Schizosaccharomyces pombe: one gene and its partner. The gene in region 1 interacts genetically with each later gene. Each region holds a gene or a part of one and is shown on either strand. Other genes may lie near its edges.

Evidence for each region. A genetic interaction does not mean that the proteins touch.
Region 2: mutations in pfd2 (region 1) and fft3 together harm fitness more than expected from each alone (negative genetic interaction), as found in Schizosaccharomyces pombe (2 studies listed by BioGRID).

What each region holds. Positions count from the first base shown.
Region 1 is NC_003424.3:511,975-515,470, forward strand, and holds pfd2 (prefoldin subunit 2), read left to right. Parts: upstream 1-1,827; 5' UTR 1,828-1,856; coding exon 1,857-1,884; intron 1,885-1,933; coding exon 1,934-2,024; exon of another isoform or gene 2,025-2,071; coding exon 2,072-2,195; exon of another isoform or gene 2,196-2,269; coding exon 2,270-2,371; 3' UTR 2,372-2,577; downstream 2,578-3,496. Other genes in the region: fol3 (folylpolyglutamate synthase), read left to right, coding at 1-1,086; putative misfolded glycoprotein sensor Yos9, read right to left, coding at 2,578-3,108, 3,248-3,496.
Region 2 is NC_003424.3:2,097,646-2,103,696, forward strand, and holds fft3 (protein Fft3), read right to left. Parts: upstream 4,161-6,051; 5' UTR 3,405-4,160; coding exon 636-3,404; 3' UTR 550-635; downstream 1-549. Other genes in the region: SPOM_SPAC25A8.03C (uncharacterized protein), read right to left, coding at 1-140; protein Atg14, read left to right, coding at 5,137-6,051. UniProt on the Schizosaccharomyces pombe protein: DNA helicase that possesses intrinsic ATP-dependent nucleosome-remodeling activity and is required for heterochromatin organization.

The DNA.
Region 1 (3,496 bases):
ACAAGTCCTCATTTCTTAGAGCCAAGAGATACCATAAGCATAAATGGTCAGATTGCTAGTGAAGAGATATTTAATACTTGTTGGAAGCAGGTGATTGAAGTGGATAGAAGATTTCGTACAAAAGCGACGGAATTTGAATTGTTAACTGCTACTGCGTTCCAATGTTTTCATCATTCAGGTGTTCGTGTGGCTGTAATTGAAACAGGAATGGGTGGTCGTTTGGATGCTACTAATGTATTTGAAGAACCAGTTCTTTCAATAATTTCACGTATTTGCTTGGACCATCAAGCATTTTTAGGAAATACCTTAGAGGCTATTGCTAAAGAAAAGGCTGGGATCTTTAAAAAGAATGTTCCGTGCGTGGTTGATGGGTTAAATGAAGTTAACGTCCTAAATCAATTAAAATTAAGTGCAGAGGAAACGAGGGCACATCCGTTTTATTTGGCAAAAGGAAAATCAGGTGAAAACAAAAATGAGTGGATCATCAATACTCCAAATTGGGGAACCAATACTTTTAGTACTCCATTGAAGGGGGATTATCAAGGACAAAATTTGGCTTGTGCAGTAACTGCTCTCGATATCCTTTCTTCGTCATTTTCAATTATGCTTCCCCATGTACAAAATGGTGTAAAAAATACATCTTGGCCTGGAAGGCTTGACATTCGTTCGGTTCCTTCTTTGGGTGATATTTTATTTGACGGAGCACACAATAAAGAAGCTGCGATTGAGCTTGCGAAATTTGTAAATTCGCAAAGACGTGAGCACAATAAATCAGTATCATGGGTAGTAGCTTTCACTAACACAAAAGACGTTACTGGGATTATGAAAATCCTTCTTCGTAAAGGAGATACCGTTATAGCGACAAATTTTTCTTCAGTAAGTGGGATGCCCTGGATTAAATCAATGGAACCTGAAGTTATAAAAAACAGTATATCTTCGGAATCTTCTGTGGAATGCTATACTGCAGATAATCTAACAATAAGCGAAATTTTAAGACTGGCAAAAGAGAAGAATTCCAGCGTAATTGTATGCGGTAGTCTTTATCTTCTAGGAGACATGTATCGTTATTTAAAACTGGACGTATAGCCTCTAAATCGTGCTGTTTACTTTCATACGTTTTTCCTTGTTTGACAAATTTATCATATGAATTGTCACAGAGTGATGAATTGTGCTCTAGAGAATTTTGTTCCATGACTTAAAAACTAAAATTTACTTTCAAAGAAGCTTGAATGATGCTATCAGGTTAATAGAAAAAAGATAAAAGATTTATATTAAGCTTTGATGGGTTTTTGGTGTGAGTTAAGATATTGAGTTAGAAATTGACTTATAGATTACGAATACATTAGTTTAAATACTTGGTGCGCTCTGCCTGCAGCCTTAATAAAACAGATATTATTTTCATTATGTGACTAGATCTTGATTTACAATTCTTACAAGATAAGGTGGGATAACTGAAGCATATTTAGCACATTGAAAGATTCCGCCTTTCTTTTAATTATTATTAAATACTGTCGTAACTGCAATAAAATAAGTAAAACGCTGAAATCGTTAAAAAAATATACCCTTCTATCTCACAGGTTGAGCTAATCAAGTTGATATACGTATAGTGCAAATGATAGGCATTTAAAAATTAGACTAATATAGTTTAACTATTACATTAATTTTAAAATACACAAACATTTAATTACTGTTTTAAAATTATACTCAGAGTCTAATTAATTACAGATTTACCGTAATCCATAGCGCTTGTTATCTATCATTACAGCAACAATGATTGCTACGCACTAAAATTCGTATACGTTTTAGATATAACATGTATAATCCACCAACATTTTTTGAGTATACAAAAAAGCAGAATGGCTGAACAACCTTCTCGGCAGCAGAGTATGTACTGTGGATGAGTTTAAAATACAAAATAGTTGACCAGTTCCAGTTCTACAGACGCAGTACAATTCATATAAGTCTCGGTTACAACAAATTGCGCAGAAGATTGTCGATTTGGAAACCGATGCTGACGAACATAAGTATGTGATACATAAAAAATTTTTAAATTAAATACCTAACTAAAAAGACTTGTTATGGACACATTAAACTCCATGGATAATAATCGACGTTGTTTTCGAATGATCCATGGAGTGCTAGTGGAGAGAACGGTGGGAACTGTTGTGCCTATCCTTAAAACTACTCAAGAAGGGGTAAGGAATTTTTTTATTTTGACCCTTTATTGTCAGATGAATTTTTGGTCTTGATGTACTAATCAAAATATTAGATTCAAACAGCCATGAATGGTTTGCTCGACCAGTATAAGCAGCTCGAAGCAGAATTCCAAAAGTTTCAAAAAGACAATAAAATTCAAGTCGTTAGACAATAATACAGATGACTCCATTAATTGCGCAGTTGCGTTCATTGACACGCCGACTGTTTTTCAAGTGCTTTATCTTCGGTTTAACATTTTTTTCCTAAACAGAGGAACAGGGATAGAATCCAAGAGTATTTGTGTCATCAAATATCATCACTTTATGTTATTAGAGTTTCACTTAAACCGTAGACTTAATACATGTAGTAAGTTAGGTAGAACTAACTTGATTGCGTCTCTACCTCCTTCACCTCAGGCGGAGATGTTTGAGCAACTTCATCAACAACGTGCTGGGAATCCTTATGGTCGACTTCGTTTGATTTTTCTTTAATTACATTATAGCACACAATTTTTTCAGAGGGTATGTCCTCTTGAATTTTGAAAGCAGGTAATGAGCATAAACCGGGAACGTGAATAGTCATTGAATATGCACAGCTTGAAACTTCTTGATATTGAGTAATTTCAGGAGTATCCGAATTTGTACTGCATTCATAACTTAGAATTACGTGTCTTGGTCTCTTAGTAATGTCGCACATAGTCCCATTTCGGAAAGTTGTTTGCAAATATGCTTTACCTTCAACAAATCCAATAGCCCAATTTTCTTCCAAATTCTTTTTAGTTTGAGTGTTAGGTGCCGTACCAAGTATATACATAGGGTTAGCAAGGACTTTGTCAGAACCTTGCTGCGGCTCCAAATGATATTGACGCACGTGTTGACCGTAGACATAGTCATAAGTCCAATAACCACGATTCTAATACAATGATTAGCTTGAAAAACACTACATGTACTAAAAGTAGTCATTAATTCTAAAATTTTTATGGACATGTCAAATAATGACCTTTTAGTAAAGTTGGTTTGTTTAAGACAAATAAAACAATTAGAACTCGTACCTCGATTAAAAATACATTAGCAAGCTCATTGATTTTTTCAGTCCCTTGTATCCGCAATTCTTGTAAATCATAGCTTGGTTCGGTTGTGCTATTTTGTTTTATAAGAGACGCATTGGGATATACACAAAAATATTCATGCTTTCCAGCATAGAATAATGACGATAATTTAGTTTTTTCAGTTTTTTCTTTAATTGAGTCAATGTCGCCCTCTAATATTGACACATTACTCCATTCAAACGAATATTTAGG
Region 2 (6,051 bases), 1.6 Mb from region 1:
GTAGTATACCATCTTCTTGGGCCATGCAAAACTAGACCGGTATTTGTAAATGCAAGAGCACTAATTACTCTGCTTCCAAATAATAATGAAGCTTGATAAACTTGAGAGCGACTTAGCTTCCACATATAAAGATTCAGCATTTAACACTCTTTGTAGTATTAAAATTGAACAAAATTCATTATTTATTCGATTACTATTATTCGAAGTTGAGAAATAAAATGTAATAATATGATTTCATAAACTTACTAGGTGAAGTGCTTTCCTCTGTCAACTTTTGTTTTGCAAGTTTTAGAACGACTTTGGATAATAAGAATCGCTTATTTGCTGTATTATCTTCAAAAAAGACTGACCATTTTCACGACGCGTTTTTGGCGTGGTATATAAATGGTGTCAAGAAGCTAAAAGCTTTCATATTAGGTTGAAGAAGTACTGAATTTGTATCATTCAATAAATAGAATTTACTTTTACAAATCAAATCTTTTAATCTGATTTAGTGAAACGGGATCGACTTATAACGTGCAAAACACAAATACAGATAATACAATTGAAAATAAAGAGAAAGGTTTACTCGAATAAAGTAGAAACCTAATCAATTTGACTATTTTAAAACTAATGCATAAAAAACCCTGTATAAACTAATCATCGTCATCTTCAGCCTCCACAGTTTCGGCATTGCCGGAAAGAGTCGCATCCAAAGCAATTTTAGCGTTGGCTAAACGTTGAATGTGCTCTTCGATGGTATCCTTGACAACAAATTTATAAACTGTAACTTCTTTCTTTTGGCCAACTCTATGTGCTCTATCTTCCGCCTGAAGGTCATCGAATGGATTGAAAGAGACATCATAAAGAATAACCATATTAGCACACGCAAGATTGATACCAAAACCGCCGGCTTTGGTAGAAAGAAGAAATACATTAATGCTTTCATCAGCATAAAATTGATCGATGAGATCCTGGCGGAAATCGACTTGTGTAGAACCATCAAATCTTAAAAACTTTAGATTTAATGATTTCATGACAAGTTGAAGAATGTCCAAAACCTGTGTAAACTGACTAAATAATACAACTCTGTCGCCATTTTCAACAGCATTAGTGAGCAGTTTTTTAAGTTTTCTGACCTTTGTGGCGTCCATCCAAGGTTCATCTTTAAGTTGGAATGAATTGATAGACGGAAATTTGCAACACAAATTATGTAGCTCAATATCTGACATGTACTGCATGTCTTCAAATATATAAAGTTCGTTTGCCTTTTTGTATTGGGGTTCATTCATAATAGCTTTCGCCATTTGTCGAAGGATATCATCTTTATAATGAATTCGAAACAACATAGGGTGATCCGCAAGCTTACGAAGCTGTACAAGCACAAAACCAGCTGTGCTTTTCTTCTTTGCAAGATTTGCATTCGTATCTAAATTAGTTTTCATGACATTTTCATCCAATAAAGAATTTACACTTTGTTTGCTAGCGAAGTCATCATAACGGCGACGTTCCTCTTCGGAAAATTCGCAAAATTCTATAATACGCGTTTTCTTCGGCAAAGCATCTAACACCTGGCTCTTTTTACGGCGAAGGACAAATGGGGCCATCATCATTTTGGCTCTCGATACTCGCTGTTCTGAAAGCAATGCTCGTTCAAAGTCGCTTTCTGGGGATTTTTTCATAGTAAAAATGACATCTAAACTTTTCAAACCATAATCAAATACATGAGGAAGAATGAACGCTAAAAGCGAAATTAATTCTTTAAGATTATTCTGTAGCGGTGTACCAGTTAGCAAAACTCGAAAGTCGGCAGGAATACTCATCAAATGACGATATCTCTCAGACGCACGGTTTTTCAAGTAATGACCTTCGTCATATACACAAACATTGAACTTTTGGTTGCGCAAAAACAAACGATCAGCCTTACTAGTAGCGGCTAAACGGTAGGTGGTTAACATAACGTTATAAGAATCTTTATTAGAGTTGATACGTTCACGAATTTCTTCACGTTCGACTTGCGATCCATAATAAAGTTCAATTTTTAGCTTGGGACAGAACTTGGCAAATTCACGTAACCAATTCTCCATCGTTGAAGCAGGTGCAATTACCAAATGTGGCCCGTTAATATTTTTATCCATGAGTAATGAGAAAAAAGCGATGGTTTGACAAGTTTTACCGAGCCCCATTTCATCAGCCAGGATACCAGCCAGTTTGAGCTCGTACAAAAGGTAAAGCCAATTAATCCCAATGATCTGATAATCCTGTAGTTTGATATCGGGCGAAAAAGATGCAGGAGGTGTAGTGATAAACGAGGAATTTGCAGGCGTACCGAAACTTTTCATTTGATCAAAGTTGACAAGAGAAGTTTCACCTTCATCAGATGTAGCAGTGTTTGACAAGCCCCACGCTTCAATGCCGCGCTGAATTTTACCACCTAGCTGCTCACACTGACGAATAAGCGCATCCACTACGAAATAACCACGCATAATTTCCATACATATACCAACTAAACGTGGTCCAAGAGGAGTTTTTTCACGTCTACCTCGTCTACCTTTGGGAATCACCGGACGAGGTTGCTTAACGACCAAAGCAGATTCAAGATCTGGAAAAGGTCTTTTGGCAACCATAAATTCAGCTTCAGCAAGCGTACAACCTGTCATGTCAGCCAAATCCTGTGTTGAACAACGATTCATATATTTAAGAACTTCCTCCTTTAGAGCAGCAGTATCTATACGAGATGCCCAGCGATCTGCATTTGAATCATCATCAGAGTACATATCATCATTGCTGTCATCGTCAGCTTCAGGCTCATAAGTCTTTCGAGATGACAATGGCAAGGTAAATTGAAGTCCGTTAGTAAGATTATTAGCAGCATATCGTTCTCTCATTGTAAGACGATGTGGGGCTGGCTTTTGATTTGTAACCTGTGAACTCAGTGATTGAGACGATAATGAAAGAGGTAAAGAATCGCTTGCTTCTTCGTCATCCATGTAAGAGGGCATTTTGGGCTCTGTCTCAGAGAATTGAGATAAAGCATTGTAAACAGCGCCGTATGGATTTTGGGCATCCATAAATTGCGAAGGAGTGCCAGCAGAAGGTGTAGGAACAAGATTTTCTAACGAACCGGAATAATTATATGGTTGATTTATGGAGTTAGCAGAGGAAGTAAATGAGGGAGAAATATCACTCAACTGCTTGAAATGTTCTAAACTTGAAATGGGTGCAGTAGCCTGAACTCGTTTAGACATCTCTGAAAGAATCTGAAGTCGCGAATTCATACCACCCCCCATAACATTAGCTTTTTCGGTAGCTTCTGAAAGCGAATCAGCAATGAAAGGGGGGAAAATTGGCTTGCGCTTCACGTTGGAAGTCGCGTCGTAATGCGTGCCATCAGCGGTATGCTCTATTTTTCTTTTTCCATCCATAATTAAGTAACAATCAATGTATCCAAGCAAATGGCAAAAGAAAATTGAATCTAAAATATAGGATTTGGAGAAAAAATATGTAAGGTCACGTGTATATTATGAATAATTTTATCACACGAATTAAGAGCGCCGAGAATAGATGCAAAAAGATTGAAACTTTTTAAATTCTCCTAAGATTAATTAAAATGGAAGAAATAACGACAAAACAATACAGATTTCTTGTTTCACGCGTTTCTTGGTAACTCAAATAGTTGAAAACTTAATATGGGAACAGCAGATTACAAAAAATTTTGAGGGCCAAAACTTATTGCAATTTCTAAAACAAGAAACAATTCCTTTAGTTACGAGATGTGTATGAGTTAATTAGGATAGACCACCTTCTTCTAATACATAAGCGTTGTTTCGAGATGATATGCAGAATTTAATGAAGAAAAATAAAATGTAAATGAAAAGTAGACAAAAAAATTTTAAAATATAAATTTAAAATTTTCCTGATGTTTAAGATGAAGCAAACTTGGTAAGCTCTAGCAATAAACAAATACTCGCAATTAAAGATCACCAAAAACGACTTATACTTTGGCTATCCAAAAACAATCTTTGTTTAAAAAAAGAAAAAGAAAATTACCAAAATTAAAATAATAACACTCAATGAATCGGATTGTTAAAGAAAAAGACTCCAGTCACCCAATACCTTCTTTTGTATTATGGAATTATTCGGTATAATTCAAGAGCACACTATGCTGGTAGTTTGTTCTTGATGTGGCACGGGGGCGTGATATGGTGGTAGTGGTCCCAAATACTGATGCTAAATAATGCCTTAAACGTTGTAACGTAGTTTATGGTAAAGCTATATCATGATGGCAACTTGCTCTTTATATTACTAAACATTTAGCAAAAGATACCGTGGCGAAATTGTCTTTATTCTTTTATAGTTTTAATAAAATCATTAAACATAACTGCAGATACTAGAGATCTTTTGTCACTGAACCTTAAGAAATATGACAACAAATAGTGTTTCGTTATATTATGGCAGCGTACCACGTTATGTTTTCTAGGTGATACTGCAAAAGCTAATGTTAAAAGAGGATGGTTTGGGTTCTAGGATTATATTATTTAGTTAATATTTTATTAACCTATTTATTTAGATAAAATAGTTTTGTAAAACACCTTGCTCATCACTCAAAGTTATTTAGCAAAAATTTGAGTGTCGAGTAACAGGCTACTTTAAGGAAATATTTTTAAACGCTTTATAAAGTAACTATTTGCATACGATTGTAGTAATCAATACGAACATCAACTGCTAAGTAGCTACTTCGGGGATTTGAAGAAATAGAAGTCCATCTACTCATTGCATTGAATTCGTATAATATAATTTTTTCTTAATATTTGTCGTTTTTTCTGTCAAAAATATCGCATTGGTTGTTCAATTCTGCAAGAACAGCCAGGAATGCAGTTTCACTTTTAAATTAATATTTTTGAATTTGTCCGTTAGGAGGCCCTTCGTTTCTAAGAATAATTGTTTAAAAACCTGCGCTGTTTATTTTTTTTCCCTTTTTCTTCTTTGTTTTTGCTTCATTATTTTAACAACACCTATATTGTATACAAGTTGACAGTTAACGTAGTAGGAAATTAATATCCTGCTGGGTTTTTAAGTTTTCTTATTGCTGTGCTATAATTGAAATTTGCGTACCACTTGAAGGCATTGTTGGATCTAAACTGAAGGTGTGTTTGTATGCTGCATGTCAATAAATGCCAATTATGCGAAACAAGACGTCCTTCTATTTGCGAAAGCTGTTTAAAAAAGCAGCTTTATGATTTTTATCATAAACGTGATGAATTCTCTCGAGATATTGAGTCAGAGCTTGAAAAGGTTGCTAAATTGAAATCAGAAAGTTTCTCTCTAAAAGGAAAGATTACCCAAAAAGAGGAATTAACTTATCGACTACAGAACCTTGCTGCCTCTCTAAACGAAAAGAAATCGTTATCGTGTGACTTGCATTCCCGCAAACAGCTTATAGAAGATGACTTGTCTAATCGCAAAAAATCAATTAATATCGCGAGTCAAAAGTTAGCTGGCTTATCACATTCAACGAGTGACTATTTCTCTAAGGAATACCTTACAGCTTATCGCCGTTCTGAGCTACTTCAAAATAAATTGCATGAGTATCAAAAGAAGCTGATAACAAGGGTTTTGGATATGTATCAACTTCACTGGCAAAGGGATTTAGTGCTTAACACTCAGGGTTGCACTCAAAAATCTGCTCAAATGGGATCAGAGTTTAACCCTGACTCCATAGATTCATCTCTTGCGTATAGACTTTCAAAATTATCAATGGGCAATTCGAAATCCGACTTATCTCATAGTGACAATGAAACAGGACATTTTTATAGCAACTTTTTTTCTCAGGTGATGGAGTTAAATGCCTCTGTGACTATTTCTGGCATTCCTGTATGTATCAGAAGTAAAGAGAAAATGTTTTTAAATCCTGATTGTGCTTTAACTTTATCCTTTATTTGTATATTTTTAGCTCAGTATACCAGTATTCCCTTACCATGCCCGCTTCAACTCCCTTCGCCTGATCAAAAACCCATGACTTCATTTTCATCGGAACAAATGTTGTATATAATGTATAACATAGTTTGGATT